Caenorhabditis elegans: one gene and its partners. The protein of the gene in region 3 purifies or fractionates together with the protein of the main gene of each other region. This does not show direct contact. Each region holds a gene or a part of one and is shown on either strand. Other genes may lie near its edges. The genes, in order: srlf-1, tald-1, F40A3.3 and cyn-1.

The links.
Region 1: the proteins of F40A3.3 (region 3) and srlf-1 fractionate together in Caenorhabditis elegans (co-fractionation; one large-scale study listed by BioGRID). This does not show direct contact.
Region 2: the proteins of F40A3.3 (region 3) and tald-1 fractionate together in Caenorhabditis elegans (co-fractionation; one large-scale study listed by BioGRID). This does not show direct contact.
Region 4: the proteins of F40A3.3 (region 3) and cyn-1 fractionate together in Caenorhabditis elegans (co-fractionation; one large-scale study listed by BioGRID). This does not show direct contact.

Annotation. Positions count from the first base shown.
Region 1 is NC_003280.10:7,788,689-7,791,875, reverse strand, and holds srlf-1 (SXP/RAL-2 family protein Ani s 5-like cation-binding domain-containing protein), read right to left. Parts: upstream 1,285-3,187; 5' UTR 1,245-1,284; coding exon 924-1,244; intron 765-923; coding exon 630-764; 3' UTR 501-629; downstream 1-500.
Region 2 is NC_003282.8:4,384,218-4,390,877, reverse strand, and holds tald-1 (Transaldolase), read right to left. Parts: upstream 4,228-6,660; 5' UTR 4,221-4,227; coding exon 4,157-4,220; intron 3,446-4,156; coding exon 3,082-3,445; intron 2,697-3,081; coding exon 2,323-2,696; intron 2,271-2,322; coding exon 2,113-2,270; 3' UTR 1,998-2,112; downstream 1-1,997. Other genes in the region: set-21 (SET domain-containing protein), read right to left, coding at 1-10; rpl-7A (Large ribosomal subunit protein eL8), read left to right, coding at 314-316, 418-541, 838-987, 1,128-1,479, 1,534-1,702; F55F10.1 (Midasin), read right to left, coding at 4,627-4,758, 6,204-6,660.
Region 3 is NC_003283.11:7,874,611-7,880,059, reverse strand, and holds F40A3.3 (Phosphatidylethanolamine-binding protein), read right to left. Parts: upstream 2,532-5,449; coding exon 2,518-2,531; intron 2,447-2,517; coding exon 2,351-2,446; intron 2,285-2,350; coding exon 2,170-2,284; intron 2,124-2,169; coding exon 1,668-2,123; downstream 1-1,667. Other genes in the region: F40A3.2 (EGF-like domain-containing protein), read right to left, coding at 1-216, 1,034-1,127; F40A3.4 (Envelope glycoprotein N), read right to left, coding at 3,357-3,501, 3,557-3,620, 4,142-4,211.
Region 4 is NC_003283.11:14,353,090-14,358,236, reverse strand, and holds cyn-1 (Peptidyl-prolyl cis-trans isomerase 1), read right to left. Parts: upstream 2,162-5,147; 5' UTR 2,157-2,161; coding exon 1,893-2,156; intron 1,830-1,892; coding exon 1,515-1,829; 3' UTR 1,416-1,514; downstream 1-1,415. Other genes in the region: Y49A3A.4 (ShKT domain-containing protein), read left to right, coding at 1-206, 882-979, 1,024-1,337; Y49A3A.3 (tRNA:m(4)X modification enzyme TRM13), read right to left, coding at 2,527-2,955, 3,002-3,252, 3,295-3,787; vha-13 (V-type proton ATPase catalytic subunit A), read right to left, coding at 4,319-5,085. UniProt on the Caenorhabditis elegans protein: PPIases accelerate the folding of proteins. It catalyzes the cis-trans isomerization of proline imidic peptide bonds in oligopeptides.

The DNA of each region.
Region 1 (3,187 bases), on a different chromosome or scaffold from region 3:
AGTCTGGAACACAATTGGGAAACAAATTAAGTTTGATTGAAAAAAGAAGAGAAAAGGGTCATCACAAATCAGAGATTGTGAGACCTTGAACTTAAAGTGATAGTCTCTCGTACTTTTCTTCATATGGAGAATATCACGGAGTAGAGAAAATAATATGTTTTTGGAAGTAGAATCGATCATTTGAAAACTTTAAAACAATAGTTATGAAGCCGTGTTTTTTATCTCTAAAAGCTTTATTTTGTTCATACCATGAAATATTTTTATTTGACAGTGTCCAGTTTACTACGATTTAAAAATTTTCAGTTTCAATGTTCAAAAAACTGAACTTGAGCACTTTTTCTACACAATATCCTAAGTACTAGTATGCGCAAACAAACAGGTTTGTGTCAACTTTACCGCTCAGTCATTCATAAAAAGTGTACATCCAATCTAAACATAGATACACATGCCTATACTGAATATTCTAGTTTTTATATGTTTGCTAGTTTCAATTGAAATTTGAAGAGCATCACGATTTTTATTAGAATTAGAGCTCATTTGGGCAAAAAGGGAATCAATCGAATGAGAACGAGAGAATGAGTGAGGGTATTTACAAAAAAAAATTGAGAGGTTCTTTGGTTGATCAGCACTTATTGTCCTTGGGCCTTCTCGAGCTCAGCCTTGACGTTAGCTGGGAGGGAGTTGAGGTAGGCTTGGATCTTTTGTCCCTTGGCTTGAACAGAGAGGGAGCTGTCATTGGAGATGGCGGTAAGGTCAGCATCGGCCTGAAAGAAATTGAAAAGATTAAAATTGATACTTTGGTTTTATTCCGAAAACTAGTAGATGTAGTATTTGCAGTGCTAGTACAAATCCGACTAGTTTATCTGATTTTACTTTTACGTAATATATGGCTTAATCTAGTTGGTTTATCCACATTATCTTACTTTCTTGGCAGCTGGAGAGAAGTTGGAAACAGCGGCTTGATGAGCAGCCTCAGCTTGTCCCTGTTGTCCCTTGATGAATTTTTGGAAGTCAGCCCAGTCAGCAGCAACCTTTCCTCCTTGTTGGTTAACCCAGGCTTGGACCTTTCCGTCAAGAGCGGTCTCAGTCAAATGACCGTTGGCTTGAATGAGCTGTTGGAAGCTCTGAAGTTGAGCTGGAGTGGCATTACGAAGGAATGGTGGAACATCTTGACCTCCGGCTGGTTGTCCGTAGACAGACACAGCGGCGACGGCGAGAAGAGCAAAAACGGCAAGACGGCACATTTTAAGTGAATCAGAAAGAGTATTAGAAGACGACTGATGAGGGATGTCCAGCAGAAATAGTTTCTTTTATACAATCGACGCTCATAGTCATTTCTCTCTCCCTCTCTATCTCTATCTCTCTCTCTGTGCCGCCCTTTCGCTCCTCCCACACGTAGATCATAGATGAGACAGTATGGAGACATAGAGAGATACAGTGTGTTCGCTGAAGTTGACCAGTTTTCCGATGGAAAATCGCTGAATTTGAAACTTTTTCAACACAATAAAGAAGCCGTAGTGACGAATAAATTTAGAATATTGGAACAGAAGTTAAGAAAGACGTCATTGAGATAGAACGCGGACAGAGGTTCTCATGATTTTTTAAAATTCCGTTACAGATTCGATTTTCATTCTGTCTTCTTGTAACTGAACTGTTGTGTTGAAAGTCACATATCAAATATCTGGATTTCGTGAAAAATGAAAGGCTCGGAAATAGTAACTACTCTTGGAGTGTGATCAAATATTTCACTCTACAAAATACAAAAGTTAAAAAAAATATTTTTTAGTTGTCTCGATTCGAAATTAAAACTCCTTTCCCAACAAGTGAAATGACTTGCGAAAAAGTACTCTAGAACTATTGCATGGAAAATTTTCCCAACTTTTTCAAAACCTAGTGTTTTTCAGTCGATTTACCGGCCTTTTGCTTTTTTTAAATGATTTTATCATTATTCTTCATTTCCTTTTCCCTAACCATCATCAATATGAAACGTCTGACCTTTTGTCGGTATCTATCAATACGAAGATCTATCTTTACATCTTTCTCGTCTCATTTTAACACTTTCCTCAATGACATCATTCATCTTTTTAAGCTTATCATAGAAATGAAATAAGGTAAAATTTGAAACAAAAGGTGTTGTTTGTGTAGCCTTGAACTCATTTTTCTCTTTTCAGTATATTTTATTATCCGTTTTATGTGTATCATCTTCGAGGTTTTTCCATCTAAAATCGTAGTACCAATCCGTTTTCTTTCCTGTTTCTGCCTTCAGTCGATCCCATTTTATATCCTTCGATCACTTCCTGATATGGAAATAAAACTGTCGGTTCCTCCTTTTCTTGACTTCTTCATTTTGTCAAGCACCAACATTCTGTGGTTTCAATGACAACTTCTGATTTGTTCCAATGATCGAAACATATCTTTAAATGCTACAAGTCAGAATGGAAAGATGGTCAGAAGGTGTATCGAACAATTAAGTTTAAACTGAAAATGAATCGAATTTCTGACAACCAGCTTGATCTGTACAGCTCTAGACTTATGTATCTACCAAAACGTAATTCTAATTAGAACGTTTTGTTATGATCTATTTTTCTTGAGAATTTTCGTGAGTTAGACTACTATTCAAAACACAATTTCATTATTTATCCTTTAACATTGTATATGCCCTCGGAAACCTACACTTTCCTTCATTCAGATATTATCTCTAGTTTTATGACGTGGTCATCCATAAACATGTAAACGTCATTGTTTCTTTGTTCAGTTGATGTGCCAAATATGTACAAACGGACCATTTCTTTATAGGCGACATAAATCTTTTCGCTGACCTATCTAACAGAATATAACCTCAAACTACGTTTTCCCATATACCGACCGAAAACCAATGAAATTAAATCTGAGAGTTCGGGAATGTATACTTGATGAATGAATGCCGAAAATCAAAAAAAAAGAGAAAACAAACAGGGCTGATCGTTGAGAGTAGAAAGAGTTGAAATACAAATAAACTTACTACTGGAATCCTTCAACTTTTCGCACATTGGACATTTCTGCTCCTGCAGAGCACAACGAATGTAATTTAAGTGTTTGGGTGAAAGTAAAACTAGAACATTCCATTCAGATGGGAAAACAAAGAACATTAGGTGTATCTCTACTGACTGTAAATATGTGGAATTTAGTTTACAATAAATACTCATAC
Region 2 (6,660 bases), on a different chromosome or scaffold from region 3:
CTACAGGCATTGGAGTAGTTTTAAGTCGCTGAAAATCTACATGTGGAATATATAAAAAATTATTAAGCAAGGTCCAACGACAAAAATGATCCAAAAAGCGTTTTCTGAGTTGAAAACTCGAAAATGTTGTTTCGTTTTCGCGAATTTTAAGACAAAAAACTCAATTTCAAACAGCGCGCGCAAAAGGCGCAGCATGTGCGCCCTGCCGCACACATTTCGCTACTGACTATCAAACGTTGAATACTCAGTCAACGACTGTCCTTGGCCTAAAAATCGTCGCTCATTTTACTTTTGGGCCCGTCGTCCATACAAGATGGTGAGTTTTTTCTTAATTTGCATTAAACTTGTCATTTTTGTCATAGTTTTATGCAAATTTTCCCAATTTTTATGTTAAATTATATAATTTTCCTGTTTCAGCCTAGCAAGAAGGTTATCAAGAAGAAAGTCGCCGCTGTTCCGGCGCACATTCGTGCCCAAACTCAAGTCCAGAAGGAAGTGAAGAACCCACTCTTCGAGAAGAGAGCTCGCAACTTCAACATCGGTACGTTTCGAAACAATTCGTAGTTTCTCTCGACATGTGACTAGCGATCCTCTTCGGGGTTGATTGCTTTTCTTAGTGGAGCATCGGGGGCTTTCTGTAAAGTTGACTCCGATCCACCTTGTCGTATACCAACAGTCTGTGTGGCCCTCTACCGCTATTTGAGATGCCCGGGCTGGATTGCATATTCCTTATCCTTCCGTAGATCCTATGGGTCCGTGACGGTTAGGACAAACCATGCAAATTACAAATATCCTAAAAACGTTCCAAGATTTTATTATAATTAAATCTTTTTACAGGACAAGACATCCAGCCAAAGAAGGACGTCACCCGATTCGTCAAATGGCCAAAGTACATCCGTCTCCAGCGTCAATCCGCCATTCTCCAGAAGCGCCTGAAGGTTCCACCAACCATCAACCAGTTCAGAACCGCTCTTGACAGCCAGTCCGGTTGGTATAGCTAATTTTTTATCAGAGTCATGTACTATAAGCAAGCCTTGAGCTTTGCACTGACGCATTTACTCTGATAGGTGAAGTAAGGCTTTTGACTTTACGCTGTTATGTTTCCAGTGGTAATTTTCTGTTTTCAGCTAGACAAGCCTTCAAGCTCTTGGACAAGTACCGCCCGGAGTCGACCGAGGCCAAGAAGAACCGTCTCCGTGCTCGTGCCGAGGCTCGCGCTGCTGGAAAGAAGGAGGAGGTCACCAAGAGACCAAACACCGTTCGCCACGGAGTCAACACCATCACCAGACTCGTCGAGACCCGCAGAGCTCAATTGGTTCTCATCGCTCACGACGTCAACCCACTCGAGATCGTGCTCCACCTTCCAGCCCTCTGCAGAAAGTACAACGTTCCATACGCCATCATCAAGGGAAAGGCTTCCCTCGGAACCGTCGTCCGCAGAAAGACCACCGCCGCTGTTGCTCTCGTCGATGTCAACCCGTAAGTTTCAGATTCTATAGTTTCTTGAGCAAATAATTATTTCTTTGTATTCAGAGAGGACAAATCTGCCTTGAACAAGCTCGTCGAGACCGTCAACAACAACTTCAGCGAGCGTCACGAGGAGATCCGCAAGCACTGGGGAGGAGGTGTCATGTCCGCCAAGTCTGATGCCAAGAAGCTCAAGATCGAGCGCGCTCGTGCCCGTGATCTTGGAAAGCTCTAAATTGTTTTTGTTGATAATAAAAACTTGTTATTCAAAGCTTGTATCTTTTTCAATAATTGGTAGTCTTCGTGGTACTCATTTGGATCGGTCTTGTTGGATATTGTTGAGAACAGTTTTCCCGAGAAGTGTCTCCCTAGTTCGTCGTTGTCTTGGAGCTTGCTGGTTGTCTGCGATATGGTTTCACTGAACAATTCTAGTTGGGTTCAATTCCGGGTGTCACAGCCACAACTGTCCAGAAACTTGCAGAGTGCGATAAGAGTTCGGCTATTTTGTGTATCTTGCCTTTACAGTGCTCTTTAAATTACATAAGGGTTCATTAAAATACGTAACGAAATATTTAAGGGGAAATCACAACACTGATGAAATTGGGGAAAACTAGTAAGCACGACAAATACATCAATCAATACAATTTAGATCTTTGCCTCGATAAGCTTCTCCAGAGTTCTGGCGTCTTTGGCAAAGTTGCGGATTCCTTCGGCGAGCTTCTCGGTGGCCATGGCGTCCTCGTTGAGAGCCCATCTGAACGCCTTCTCGTCAATGCTCACTTTCGGCAGGTCGAGTGTCTTGGCTGGAAAATAATTAAAAATTGCAATTTTTAATTGATTAAATCTCCCGCTCACCATGAGAAGTGGAGAGCACAACTGGAGCAAGTTCCGTCTCCGCAGCAAGTTGCTTCAGAAGAGCCGGAGAAATAGTAAGAAGATCACATCCAACAAGTCCCTTGATCTCTTCAGTATTACGGAACGAGGCAGCCATCACTTGTGTCTTATAGTCGTATTTCTTGTAATAATTAAAGATTCGAGTAACACTGACAACTCCTGGATCGTCTTTTCGAGTGTAGGCCTTCTGATCGGTATTCTTCACGAACCAATCCATGATTCTTCCGACGAATGGCGAGATTAGGGTGACTCCTGACTCGGCACACGCGACTGCTTGCTCAAAGTTGAAGAGCAGTGTCATGTTGCAGTGGATTCCGTGCTTAGATTCGAGGAATCTGAAAATTTAATTTTTTGCTGATTTTGAACTATTTCCGTTATAATTAATGCCTTAAACTCTTTTGAAAAATGTCAATTTGGGTCCAATTGAGTAGATTTTCAGTAGAAAACTAATAGAAACGAGACTTTGTATGTTTCGAAAAGGTATGTCCGTAGATTTTAGGTGATTTACAAGAAAAATCGAAGCATTTCTAGTTTTTAATTTAAAATGTGTTAATTTTTAACAATTTCATCTTGTATAATTCGTTTTTTAATTGATTTTTTCGAAACTAGTAGTGTTTTAAACCAAGCAAATCATCAAAAATGGGTAAAATTTCATCAAGTTTGATTTTTAAAAAAAAGTTTTTTAACTGAAAAGTTTTCCTAAAATCTCCAATGCCGTACTTAGCAGCCCGAATTCCTTCCCAAGTTGAAGCAAGTTTGATAAGAATCCGATCCTTCGAGATTCCTTCCTTCTCGTATTGAGCAATAAGTCCAAGAGCCCGATCAATCGATGCTTGAGTATCAAATGAAAGACGAGCATCAACTTCTGTGGAAACTCTTCCTGGAATAGTTTTCAGGATTTCTTTTCCAAAAACTACAAAAAGTCGATCCATAGCCGCTTGGAGCACTTCTTGATGTCCACTGGCGTGCTCTTTTGCGTAGGCAACTGATTGATCGATTAATGCTGCGTATTGCTCCATTTTTGAGGCGGCCAGGATGAGCGATGGGTTGGTAGTTGCATCTGTTGGCTGGAATTCCTTGATCGCTGAAAAAAATCGATTTTTTGAGAACAATTTTTGAAAAAAGTACTTTTTTCAACTGGAAAATTCGAGTTTTATTTTTCGATTTTTGACTTTTTACACAAAATCGAGGAAAAAAACAAAGGTGTGCGCCTTTAAGACTTACAGTAACCCATTTCCTGATTTTTTAAATTAATTTTTCACGCTTTTCATCTAAATTCTTGAGAGAAAACGTTGAAAAATGAAAAAAAAAACGAAATTGAAGGAACGTCTGGGTACTGTACTTTTGAAAGGCGCAAACACATTTTTTTCAAAATAAATATTTTTCACCAGTATTTACAAAAATTTAGAAAAAAGAGAATTCATCGAATTATCCAAAAAAAGTTTTTCACAGCTTTTTTTGGAATTTTTGAAAAATTCTAATTTTTAAATGGCACATTCCAGAAATTTACAATACTTCCATAAAATTTAATAGTATTTATTTTTAAAATGTTTTAACGAATTTTTTGGAAACTTCTTGAAAATATGTATTTTTTTCTCTAAAAAAATTAATTTAAAAAGTTCAAAAAGTCAGATTTCTATCTGAAAATCGAGAAATTTACTGTTTTTTACATTATAACAGTGGTCTTCCTAGAAAAATCGAATTTTCAGATAATTTAATTTTTTTTCAAAACTGCCAAAAAAAATCAATTATTCACCACATTTTCGAACTTTTTCTTAATGTTCAAAATTTTTACCATTAAAATCTCCAGTATCCGCAACAACGACTGATGCTCCTTTGAGTTGTTCCAAAACCGACATGATTTCCCTAGAAAAAGTCAAAAAAAAATCAATAATCGTGAAAATTACGGGAAAAATCGCGTGAGAGAGATCGAATGGAAAGTGCAGCCCATTGATAGCATCAAAGATAACAAAAACCGTATCAAAAAAATTTCAAATTTTTAATAGATATAATGATAATGATAATTCGACTAACCAATGTGAAAACAATGAACAATGAACAAAAAATAACAAAAAAGGGGGAAAATTTCAAAAAAAAAGTAACAACTCATAAAAAAATGACGATAAAAGGAGTAGGGAAGTGAGAAAAACAGTTTTCGAAAAAAAGTAACAAAAATGATGATAAAAAGGTATAAAGTAAAGTAGTAACAAAAAAACAAGAATATGACTAAATGTGTGTAGTTTGCAGTCTGTAGTTTGTAGCCTCTCAACTATGATGTGTCGTCGTCATTTCGAACCATTGACGAATCGATTCGGCAATCACCGATGGTAGTTGTTGAACTGATTTGACGAGAGCGTAGAATGGGAACGGGAACAGGGCGAGGTATGGCGTGAGTACCTGCAGGAAAAATTGGAAATTGTCAGCAGTTTTATGGGGGCAAATGGCAAGAGAATCGGGGGGTTTTCGAGAAAAAAAAGAAAGTAAATATTGTTCTTTGTAGTCAAATATGATCAAATTTCACACATTTTTTTGGGAATTTTAACACGAAAAAAAGGAAAAATCTTCAAAAATTGGAAAATTTATTGAGTTTTGAAATTTATTTGCGAAATTCCTTTCGAATATTTTGACCTAGTTTCAATTTTTTGTTTCATTTTTTAAATATTATTTTAAACACAATTTCTCACATTTTCAGACAGTTTTCCGCAAAAAATTATTTAAAAATGTGAAATTATCGATTTTTAGGTCAAAATTGAAGCGAAAATCGTCAAAATGCCAAAAAAGTCTACTGAAATTTAAATTTCAGACCTAAAAATATACAAATAATCGGCCATAGAAGACTGAAATAACGAAAAAAAAACTTTTGTAATTTTAAAAGCAAATTTTTGCTGAAAATCCTATAATTACCGTAACCTCGGCGTTTGTTCAATATCGAGAATGGAAAATTACCAGTTTTTAAAAAATTAAAATTAAAAAAAACGTTTTTTGTAGTCAAATATGATCAAATTTCACACATTTTTTGGGTATTTTAAATGAGCGGCAATTCTAGAAAATGGTCTGTTGCACCATGTTGTTCCAACATTTTTACAACTTGAAATTAGTTTAAAAATATGAAAAATCACTCGATTTATTTGAAAATAACATTAATTTCAGCTGAAGCCTTCGAGAAAATGCCCAGAAATGGCTTGAAAGTTGACTAATTTCGGCAATTGTCAACTTTCTGGCCTTTTTTGAGCAATTTCTCAAATTTTCAGTCGAATAAATGTCATTTTCAGATAAATCAACTAATTTTCTATACTTTGACACTAATTTTGGAGGAAAATGTTGAAAATGCATGGTGCTACGTCACCTCGAAAACAATTTTTTTTTCAGAGTGTAACTTCAAATAAAATGGAAAATGTATATTTTTTTAATTGGATTTTTCTTTAAAAAATACCCATAATAATCTAAAACTGGGATATTTTTGAAAAAAAACATATTTCCAGTCAAAAATAGCAGATTTCAACTGAAATCGTCTGATTTTGAAATTTTAAACATGCCAATTACAAGTTTTGGGTGAAAATGTTGATTTTTTAAACCAAAATTGGCAAATTTTCACTAAATTGCCCCGATTTCTAGCTAAAAAAATCCTGGAATGTTGAAAATGTGATTTTTTGAATGAAAATTTGCGAAATTCTATCTGAATCAATTTTTAGAAAATTTTCGGGTTAAAAAAATCGATTTTTCAATTTTATTCGATTTATTAGTTTTTTAAAAATTAAATCGTTCAAAATAACATCTGAAAAATTTTTTTCCTAAACGATTTTTGAAATTTTTGGACATTTTTACTTAAAACAAAACCGTACCACTTTATTATCCTTAAACGATGCAACCGTATGATCTTCAATCGATTTCTTTCCCGAATCCAACACAATAAAGAGCACAGTGACACCTTGAAGAGCCGAATAAAGAGCTCGAACCTTATCAGCACCCTGTGATAAAGCACCTCTTCCATCTGAAATCACAATGAGCATTTGCTCAGAAGTTCCCGTTCTCATCTCGTCGAGCTGTTGCTTGGCAGTTTTCAGGAGCAATAAAAGATCAGTTTTCTTCTGCGAAAATGTCATTTGTTTGAGCATTTCAATGCTACTGCTCGCCGAAGCTTCTCCGAATGGAATGATTGTATTGACGTCGGCTCCGAATGAGCACACAGAGACACGTCCAGCATCACAACGTCGGAGAGCATCTTCCACAATGCATACGGATTCACAAGTGTTTTGATGGATTCCGTTCTCGTTCATTGATTCGGAGTCGTCGACGGCG
Region 3 (5,449 bases):
AATACTTTCCAGAATATGGTACGGTACACGTGCATTCGGTCAAGTCATAATTTGGCATTCCATTTCCATGACAGTCAATGATGTCACAATCGGTACCCGCCCATCCGAGTTCACACTCAATACAACTTCCATTCTGAAGGCGTTCGAATCCAGAACAGTACATTTTGCGATGGCATAGTGTACCCGTCCAGCCTTCGATACAGTAACAGCGGTCACCTAGAAAGTATGATTTTTCAACTTTTGGATGTTTCAGGTGATTTTCGAACACCGCCGATTATATAATTGGGTCTCGAACGGATTTTACAAGAGCATTCTCTACAAATTTTGAGAGTGCGCCTTTTAGGTTGTATTGTGGAAATTTCTATTTAATATTTGAATTTTCCACGTATGTAACTCATCCACAACTTTTCAAAAAGTTGTTTTCAAAATACATCTTTTCAGGCATTTTTAAACCTAAAATTACGGTACCTGCTTTTGCCACGAACGATATATTTTCTAATTGAGGCATTTGAGGCCGCGAACGTTAGCGCCTTTAAGAAGTACAGTAATAACACTTACCTAGTTTTATTCAAATTTTCCGAAATTAAATAGTTTTGTTATTTTCTTTTGTGTTAGTCCAGTTCTTCAACAAAACCATGCTTTTGGTAAAAAAACGTAGCAAAAATACCGTATTATTTAAAAACGCATACGATCCCGCATGGTCATTTGAAAATATTACGTTCGTGGCGGTACCTGTATTTTTTTAAAGTAGTTTTTAAGTAGTTTAATTGGAATATTTTTTGTATAAACGTTTTCATTCCGTTTTTTGAGAAAGTTTTCTTATTTTGAAAACTAAAAGAACGAAAAATTCAATGAATGTTAAGAAGAATAGAATAAATTCTAGAAACAGGGCAATAAATGTATCCGGTTTTCACCTTTTATTTTCAAATTTATTCTACAAAACCTTTCGATTTTAATTCTAGGTTTCTCATGTCATACATCAAATTTTCTAATTTGAAATTTATATGTTAGCCCTGAAAGATTTATTAATCACCTTCAGGAGTTCCATTGATACATGGCTTCTTCTTGCGGAGAACGCAGGCTACTAAAACAATTAGTATAGCGGAGAGAAGAATCCTCCGAAGCATTTTCTGCTGCAGCAATTACCTCAACAAAAAACCTGTGTGTTTTTCTTTTTCTGCCCTTAGTTCAACTTTAGTTTCAAAGTCAAGTGGGTGCAATTAGGTAAAATATCGGAGAAGACAAGAAAGAAATTAAGAAAATTTTTGGATTCGAAGAAAGACACTGGAATCAATTTGGAAAACGGAAAAGAAATTGGAGAATTGTATTGTAAATAGACTGTGGATGAGAATGGAGGGTTAACATGATAACCTGCGAGCGAAGAAGACAGAAATTTGGAAGTCGTCGGCGTCAGAGAGAAGAAAAATGAGAAGAGACGAGAATGTCGAAATGGGAGAATTCGAATGGCCACTGCCTGGTAATCAGTAACGATGATTGGAGGACGGATAGGGAGAGAAGATAACAAAGTTAGAATCGTCTGAAGATTGCGATTTGTTTATCATCGTTTCATCAAATTTATTTACTTCTTGGATAGGAAAAAACTGGCTGATAGAAAATCACAATATAAATTACAAACTTTGTATTTAGCAATTTTACAGAAGAACAACTCATGCTCCGAGTTGCTTGTTGAGAATTGGCACGTAGTCGTCGTACTCGGCCTGGAACAGATTTCCGAAGACTGGAGCACCGAGCTTGTGCTTTGCGACGAAATCGGCAGCCTTCCATCCTCCTCTTTTGTCTCCGGAAGTGTTGGTTAGACGTCCGTGCTCGGCATCTTCGATGCGTCCAGATTGCTTGTAGATCAGGTAAACGTAACGATGGAGTCCAGTTTTTGGTGGTGGTCCGGCGCCGATGTACTCGGAAAGAGTGTCTCCTTTGGCAATGTCGTTTCCTGGAATGTTGACGACGAGCCAGTGATGCCACTCTCGGTAGGTTGGCTCTTTGCGAGATGGAGCATCTGGATCCGTCTTGATGAGAGTGTAGAGTGCTCCTGGCTCAGCATCCCATTTTACTTCTGGAGTATCCTTTACTTGGGTTGGAGTGAGAACGTTTCCAAGATTAGCCTGAAAACATTTTTAAACATTTTTAAATTTCTTTTTTTTGAATTACCTCGACGCCAGAGTTGAACTTGACAGACACAACCTTGGATGGTGGGTTGGAAGCGAGAACGTCTGGAATGACCTCGTGTTTGGTGAATGCTTCGGCGGCCATTGTAGCGAGACCTCTGAAATAAACAAAAAGGTTTAGTTGAATAAAAAAATTGGAAAAGAAGAAAAATATGAACGAAAACCTTTGGAATCTAGCAGAAGTAGTTGCGGCAGCGAATGGAGCTCTAGAAGCAAAAAATAAGGCGGGGAGCAGAGATCTCGTTACCAGGACGACCATCCTTAATTTATTTTTTTATTATTTTCTCACGCGAAAGAAAAACAATACAATCAATTAGTTTTCACTACATACCGATGAGAAATCATGTTTTGTCAGAAGACAAAATATCAGGAATGGATGCAAACAACGAAACATGTCGAGAGAAACTTATTTAGGTCGTGTCAGAACGAAAATTTATTATTTGAGAATGTAAAAGATATCAATTTGAACATCGAAAGCTTTTTTCTCGGTTTAAATGGCGATAAAAGTGAAGAAAAAATTTAAAAAAAAACAGCGAATTAATTATTAAAATGTATATCTTGCCCACGAGTAGTACGGAGCTAACTCGTGGCGAGACCTTACTAAAAAATCCTGGATGCGCCTTTAATAAATACCTAAAGTTACTGTATTATTTATTATTTTCGCAAACATTTTCATTTAAAAATGAATTTTCGATCAGATAACAGTTTTGAAATCATCAAATTTATTTACAAAAAAATCTTCGGTTCACATTAATACGGGCGCAGCGCCTGCAACGGAGTTTCGTTGTTCTCTGCGTCTCGCTGCACTTTTCCTGTCTAACTGTCAACACATAATTGTAATGTTTGTGTCTTTTGGAGAAATGTTAAATTAAAAATCGACTAGAAAAGTGAAAAAAAAACTGGTTTCAGAAAACATCGAAAAAAATGATAAAATTACGGTACCTCTTTAAAGGTACAGCCTGGTTTCAAAAGGTTTCATGGCCTTATACAAAAACCTTATACAAATTATTAGGTCCAAAATCGCTGATTTTTCTTCGCTTTTACATAAAAACGACTAAAATCAGCCATAATTGTTAGATATTCTGCATAGTTCAAAAATTTATTGGTACACAAGGCAAGACCCATAACAAAACGTATTCTATCGAAAATTACAAAATTCTTAAATAATGTTCAAATTTCAATGGGATGACTTTTTCGATTCGAGTGCAGTGGAGATCTCTCCTCGTTGTTGGCACGGCGACAATGAAAGAAACAAATGAGAAATACGGCAATGATGATGAGAGCTATCACGATGAGCAATAAGGCGACGACCATTCTGAAAAAATGGGTCTCACCAAGAAGAATATTAAGAATGAATTGAAGGAACTAACCGATAGATTCCATCGACGGTTTGATGAATTTTCCTAGTTGTGTCATAGTTGTCATAGATTATTCCTGAAAAAAAAATTAATTTTTTGTAATTGTCTCGAACTTCTTTTTAAAAACAGTTTTCACTCAACAAAAATGCAAAAAACATGTGTAACTTCGCGGCTCTTGGGGACATGGACTAACTTGAGATTTCAGGAATTTTTGACTATTTTTTTTAGTAAATCTTCAGAAATAATTGATTGAAAAAGAAGCAACTGAAAATTAGAAATTGTTGTCCGGATATAGTGACGTCATACTAAATTTACCGTGCGACACCAGTGGAAAAATAAACGAGTATAAATTGTTTTTTTTAATTACTGGTTTAAGATCAAAAGGAAAAGGTGCAGTGTGCCGATTCAATACATCACATTTTACGAGCAAATGTTTGATTTCCAAAAAAAATTAGTGCGTCAAATTTTACAAAAAAAGAATAATTCACCCTCACGCGTACAAATTATTAGTATCTCATCACAAAATCCACATGCACCAAAGCACATTTTCGTTTCTACTACAGTACACTTTTGACTAACCGTCCGCAAAAAGAATACCTAAAAGACCATTAAGAATGGCTTTCTGCTCCTCACGAATCGATGAACTATAACTATCCATTCGCGACATGGTTTGTTGTTTTTTGTTTCTTGTTTGGAGAAAACTGATGATGGACGAGTTCACGGACGACACATTTGATCCTTTTTCGCCGGAAACTGCAAAAAAAAGTTAGAGGAAATTGGATAAAAAATAAGAGGAGGTCAAATGAAAACGAAATGAGTTCGAAATATAGAGGGTATTTTGGATAAAAATGAAATTGAGAGAGGGATTACTTTAAAAGTGCAAAGTCACTTTGACACGTTTTTTTTCGTTTTTATAAATTAATATTGAAGATCTGTTAAAAGCAGTTTATGTACCGTCACAGGTAATCTAGAAATATCTTTGAATTTAAAATTAATTATTCAGACAGTCTAGGTAAATAATGTTGCTATTTTTAGTCGAAATGCCAAAAAAAAACTCATCAATTTGTCCTATGTAAATAACTTCAAAAACGTTGATGAATTCTGTGCAAGCATCAGAGTTCAAACCTAAATTACAGGCAGTAGGCATGCAGGCATAAAGATGCGCCTACTAACTTTTTAATAATTAAAATCAACCAGCAAGCAATTTTCCTATTATTATATGTTCAGCTCACCAAACCCTAGTCTCAGTTTCAACCCGCACTGATATTGTCGAAAATACGCAAAATGCCAAATTAGTGCTTTAAAGCAGGTGTCAAATTGAATCAGCTATATCGCGCAAAAAAATACTGATGTTTGTGGAGAAAAAAAACGCGAGAAGAAAAAAGTAAACTATTTCTCCATACTCTAGAAATTCTGGTGGACGGATTTCTTTTTTTGTTTGCTCAAGAAAAATGTGGGGGGTCTAAGGAGATATCTGGCAGGAGGATACATTTTAAATTGGGAATCGGATGATCTAATTGGAGAATCGGGTGCTAGTTTTTGACAGGTTTAATTGATGGAAAAGAAGTGTTGAATTTTTGGTGAATTTTGGTTCGGTTGAGACAATTTTAAGTTTTTGTTCTCAAGAAAAAGGGTATGCGTTTCAATTTAAAAAAACATTTGGTTTCATTTTTCGAAATTTGATACTTTTCACCATTAAATTTGTTTTCAATAGTTGCCATTTTTTGGTTTATTGTGTTGATGATGTATGTTTTCTGGATTCAATTTGAGCTTTAATATTTAAAATCACAATTTTTGGTAAAATATGTACAAATATCAAACATGTTATCAAAAATGTTATGAAACAAAAGAATTTTGAAATCCAAGGAATGTTTTATAAATTTTGAATTAAACTTTAAACGGTCT
Region 4 (5,147 bases), 6.5 Mb from region 3:
AATCGAATAGAACAGAAGCTTATGGAAATTGCTTGTCCTCTTACATGTGGATATTGTATTAATTCTAAAACTGGTGGAACAACTACAAGTACAGTACCCACAGATGAGATTATCAAACCATTCAAATGTATTGATGAAGCTGATGATTGTGCAGATAGAGCCAATTTTTGTCAGAGAAAGTTCTACAAACGCATGATGAGTTTACAGTGAGTTTTTGTCTCATTTTTCTCCAGCAGCAAATTTTAGGAATTTTGCGCCAATACGGTACCCGGTCTTGGCACGACATGTATTTTCTTGTAAAAATTTCAATGTAAAAACACGTGCGGTTTTAAGGAGTACTGTAATTTAAACATGTATTCTGTTTTCATTGATTTTTCAGTTTTTGTTTAAAAAAAATTTTTTTAATAGAGTTTTCTTTTTAACTAAAAAACTGTAAAAATCGATCAAAATTCCCCAGAAAACCCGAATTATAGTACTCTTGAAAAGCGCACGCCTTTTATGGTGCGTCCATAGTCTGCGGAAAACGGGAAATTCCCGCTTGCGGAAGCGTCCATAGTCTGCGGAAAAAAACAAGGAGTTTCTCGCTTTGTTATTGGTCAATTTCAAAATAGTGGGCGTGTTCAACCAATTAGGGGCTGTAAAATTTTAAGCTGAGCAATGGGAAAACAAGAAACAACAGCTGATTGGTTGGCCACTCCTACTTTTTTGAACTTTGAGGAAAAAAAAAAGCGAGGAACTCCGGTTTTTCCGCAGACTATGGACGCTTCCGCACGCGGGAAATTCCCGTTTTCCGCAGACTATGGACGCACCATTAAAATTAACAAAAATTTGTCGCGTCGAGGCCAATTAGTGTATTATTAACTTTTTAAATGCAATTTCAGATGTGCAAAAACCTGCAAATTTTGTGTTGACGATGACGAGTACGAAGAAGAGGAAACAGAGGATAGCCGGGAAATTCATATTTCGCATTTGAAATCCAGTAAGCTTCTTCCGACCTGTTTAAACATATTCTGAAATATTTAGAAATGGGTGAAAAAACTGTTCAAAAATTGGAAGAGTTGAAAATAGTTGACAATGTGATTGATCTTCTGAGAAATGCAACAACTCCCACGACGTTCATGGAAAAGAAACCGCGAAGGTTCTCGAAAAGAATTGAAAATATCTCATCGGAAATGACTGATACTGCAGAATGCGTGGATCGAGCATCAGATTGTGAGAGGAATCAGAAGTTGTGCACACATAGAGCCTATTCTCCACTTTTTCGTAAAATTTGTGCGAAGACGTGTGAATATTGTACATCGGCAGATGATATTGAGTCTTCTGGTGAATTTTTATAGACCATTGCTTTTGCTTTTCACTTTTCTGGTAGAAAATAAATCTGTAAGACTTAATTTTTTCCAGTTATTTTTCGAAAAAAAACTAAAACTTTACTAATTAAAAACAATTAATTAAAAAATAATAACAATTTGCTAACGCTAATGAAAAATATTTTTGAAACAAAAAAAACAATGAAGTTACTCGCTCTTCAACTCTCCGCAATCGGCGATTGTGACAGTCTTGGCTGGGGCTCCGGATCGGGATCCCATCTTTTCGATCTTCTTCACAACAGACATGCCGTCGGTGACTTGTCCGAAAACGACGTGACCTCCATCAAGCCATGGAGTGTCGACTGTGCAAATGAAAAACTGAGATCCGTTGGTGTTTGGTCCAGCGTTGGCCATTGAAAGGCATCCTGGTCCGGTGTGCTTAAGATCGAAATTCTCGTCCTTGAATTTATTTCCGTAGATTGATTCACCACCAGTTCCGTTGTGGCGAGTGAAATCTCCTCCCTGAAGAATTGAATAATGTTAATGAAAAATAGTTAAAACTCATAGTTCGAAACTAAAAATTACCTGAATCATGAACTCTGGAATGATTCTGTGGAATTTTGATCCCTTGAAGTGAAGTGCAACTCCTTGCTCTCCGACGCCCTTCTCACCGGTGCACAATGCGCGGAAATTCTCTGCTGTTTTTGGGACAACATCGTTGAACAACTCCATGGTGACACGTCCTGCTGGTTCTTCTCCAATACTCACGTCGAAAAACACCTTCGGTCTTTGAGAGGCGAATCGAAGTGATTGACCGGCAAGTGAGGAGGCACGGAGTAGAAATTTCATTTTACCTGAAAAAAGAAACAAAACTAATTCAAAAACGTGCAGAACAAAGCCATAGGATTGAATTTAAAGTGAAAAAGAAAATAAAATAAATACTAATCTGACAAAGCGCAATCAAATTCTTTGCTTGCGCGTTTCTCGTGCACGCGAAAAACGCCAAGAGATTTGCGAGGTAATTCAAATAATAACAATTTTTGTCAAATATCCCACCGTACTATTTAAAGGCGCGTGGTTTAGAATGTGTAGGTATCGCATAGATTCTAATTTTTGTTCGAAATTAATAAAATTTTGTATATTTATTTGATTAAATGTTCAATTTGTTTCGATCTATTTATTAAAAAATATTACAAATCATTTTATTAAATGCGTGATCTTATTTCAAAGCTAAAATCAATAAATTTTCCGGTGATACTTCTGGCGGCACGTATTCTACAACTCTCGTCTTGAATCCAACACTTTCCAGCCAAATTGCTCGTCCGATTTCAAGGATGGCTTTCGCTCTTCGTCCAAGCTCTAATGGCGGATGAATTGACTTCCATCCTTCAGTTGCTTCTGTATCAACTGCTCCATTTGTTGCAAACGATGCAATATATCGAAGTGCAGCAAACGAAGCTTCATCATTCATTTCCCATTTCTCCAAAAAATCATGTCCTCCATATTCTGCGAATCGCGATTTGTGATGGCAACAAGGGATCAGAAGTGCAGCGTTGAATTGTAGACCACTATTCATCAACGATCGAATTCCAGCGTCTGTCGCGCTTCCACAAAAATGTTTACAGATTGCCAAAATCTTTTCAGAGTTCTAAAAAAAGATAAAGATTTTTTTGGATAAAAACTGTAAAACTCACCTTCAGCTCATCAATCTTGCTCAAGTCCATATGTTCAATTGAGCATCGGAAGCGTTTCATTGATAAATTCGGATTCTCTCGAAATGCAGCAGTATCAAATTTATTTCGTGATCCAGAGCGATCCATGAGAATATAATTTCCATTTGGCGCTGCTTTGGAGATCCAATAAGCTAGTTGACCTTTTCCAGCTCCGAGCTCGAACATGCAAGATTTGGAGCAAGTTGGAAGTAGCCCTGTGGATTCGATGTGACCTGAAAAGAAAATTATTAAAATGGAAATGCATTTTATAAAACCTAAAATAGACGAAATCTGGTATAATTGCTTCTTTTTCGTGTTGTTCAGATCTGAATTTTGTGCGATATTTTGCTCGACGAGCTCATTTCTTTGTTGCTCAACAATCAAACGATCCATTACATCCGTCTCATAGCACTTCCAGATCTTGTGCACAGTGGTACAAATCTCATCTTCAGTGGCTCTTCGATCAATTTTATCGGTGCGTTTGGTCTCGCCACGAATAGAATTTGCATCAATTTTGATATATTCTGCATCTCTGATTCTAGAATTACACCTTGTCAGATGAATCTCTAGATCTGCCTTCAGAATCGTATGTTTTCCATCATTCGGGCAAACCATACGATCAGTGTTATTCTGATCGTGAATTGAATGCTCTCCACAGAACCGATTTCCCTTTTTCACCAGCATCTTACACCGTCGCTTCTTAATTGGTAGAATATATTCACAGCAAGCGTTCTGCTGTTGTTGCTGCTTCACCGAATCCAATTCCATTTTGAAAACGAGACCTGCGTGCGAGATATTTGTGATTTTCCTAAAGTTTATTGCTATAGTTGAATTGGTGTGTCTCAAAAGTATTATACATATCACAACACAGTAAAACGTGGTTCGTAAGACTATACGGGTTGGTTGTCGCAAAAAAAGAAATGGAAGGGCACAAGTAAAGTAGTCTATTCAACAAGAAGAATACCAAAAATATTGATTAATATAAGTGAAATTGTTGTTTAAAACGGGAGTTGTAAGGCGACCAGATACATTGTGTGTGGTTGGAATTTTTTGAAGTTTAGAAATCTACAAAAGAGAAAAAAGGTGCAATAAATATCTGAAATTTGGAATGTCAAATCAATCAAACACTTTAAAGAGGATAAAAGTAGAGAAAGGAGGCGAATTGGGTGAGGGGATCAAGGAAAAACATATACTTTTAACTAAAAAGTACACGCTCAGCAAAACTGAACAGAATCTAGCGGGGAGGCGAAAACAGAAACAAACAAGAGAATCAATTTTAAAATTTCTAAAAACATTAATTTAATCCTCGAGGTTTCTGAAAGCGTTAGCCATAGCCTCTGCCAAATCTTCGTAATCCTTGCGAATCTTGGCTTCACCATCGGCAACTGGATCCTTGAATTTCATGGCAGAAAGCTGGTAGATCAAATCTCCCATGCTATCCTTGATGACGTTCCATGTGATCTTGTTATCAGATTGAGCAGTTGCTTCAACAGCATGACGGGCCAAGTCATAGAATCCAATCATATTCTTGAGCATACCGACAGTCTTGTAGAATGGGCAGAAACGATCGTATTTGGTGTATCCGTTCTGTTGCAAGAAATCGTCCTTGATGATCTTGGCAACCTCAAGTGTGACCTTGTCTGATTCGGCGAGGGAAGCTTTTCCGACGAGTTGCACAATTTCGGAAAGATCTTCTTCTTCCTGGAGGATCTCCTTGCACTTGGTACGGAGTGAGACGAACTCTGGGTAGTTCTTCTCGTAGAACTCCTCAAGAGCACGCATGTACTCGGAGTAGGAAATAAGCCAGTTAATAGATGGGAAATGTTTACGTTGAGCAAGCTTCTTGTCAAGTCCCCAGAACACCTGTACGATACCGAGGGTGGCGGATGTGACTGGATCGGCGAAATCTCCTCCTGGTGGTGATACGGCTCCGACAATGGTGACGGATCCTTCACGTTCTGGAGATCCGAGACACTTAACACGTCCGGCACGTTCGTAGAAGGAAGCGAGACGAGCGGCAAGGTAAGCTGGGTATCCGGAATCGGCGGGCATTTCTCCGAGACGTCCTGAAAAGAAAATTTGAAAATGTTCAGAGAAATTTCAAAAATATTAAGAAAAAAATATGAAT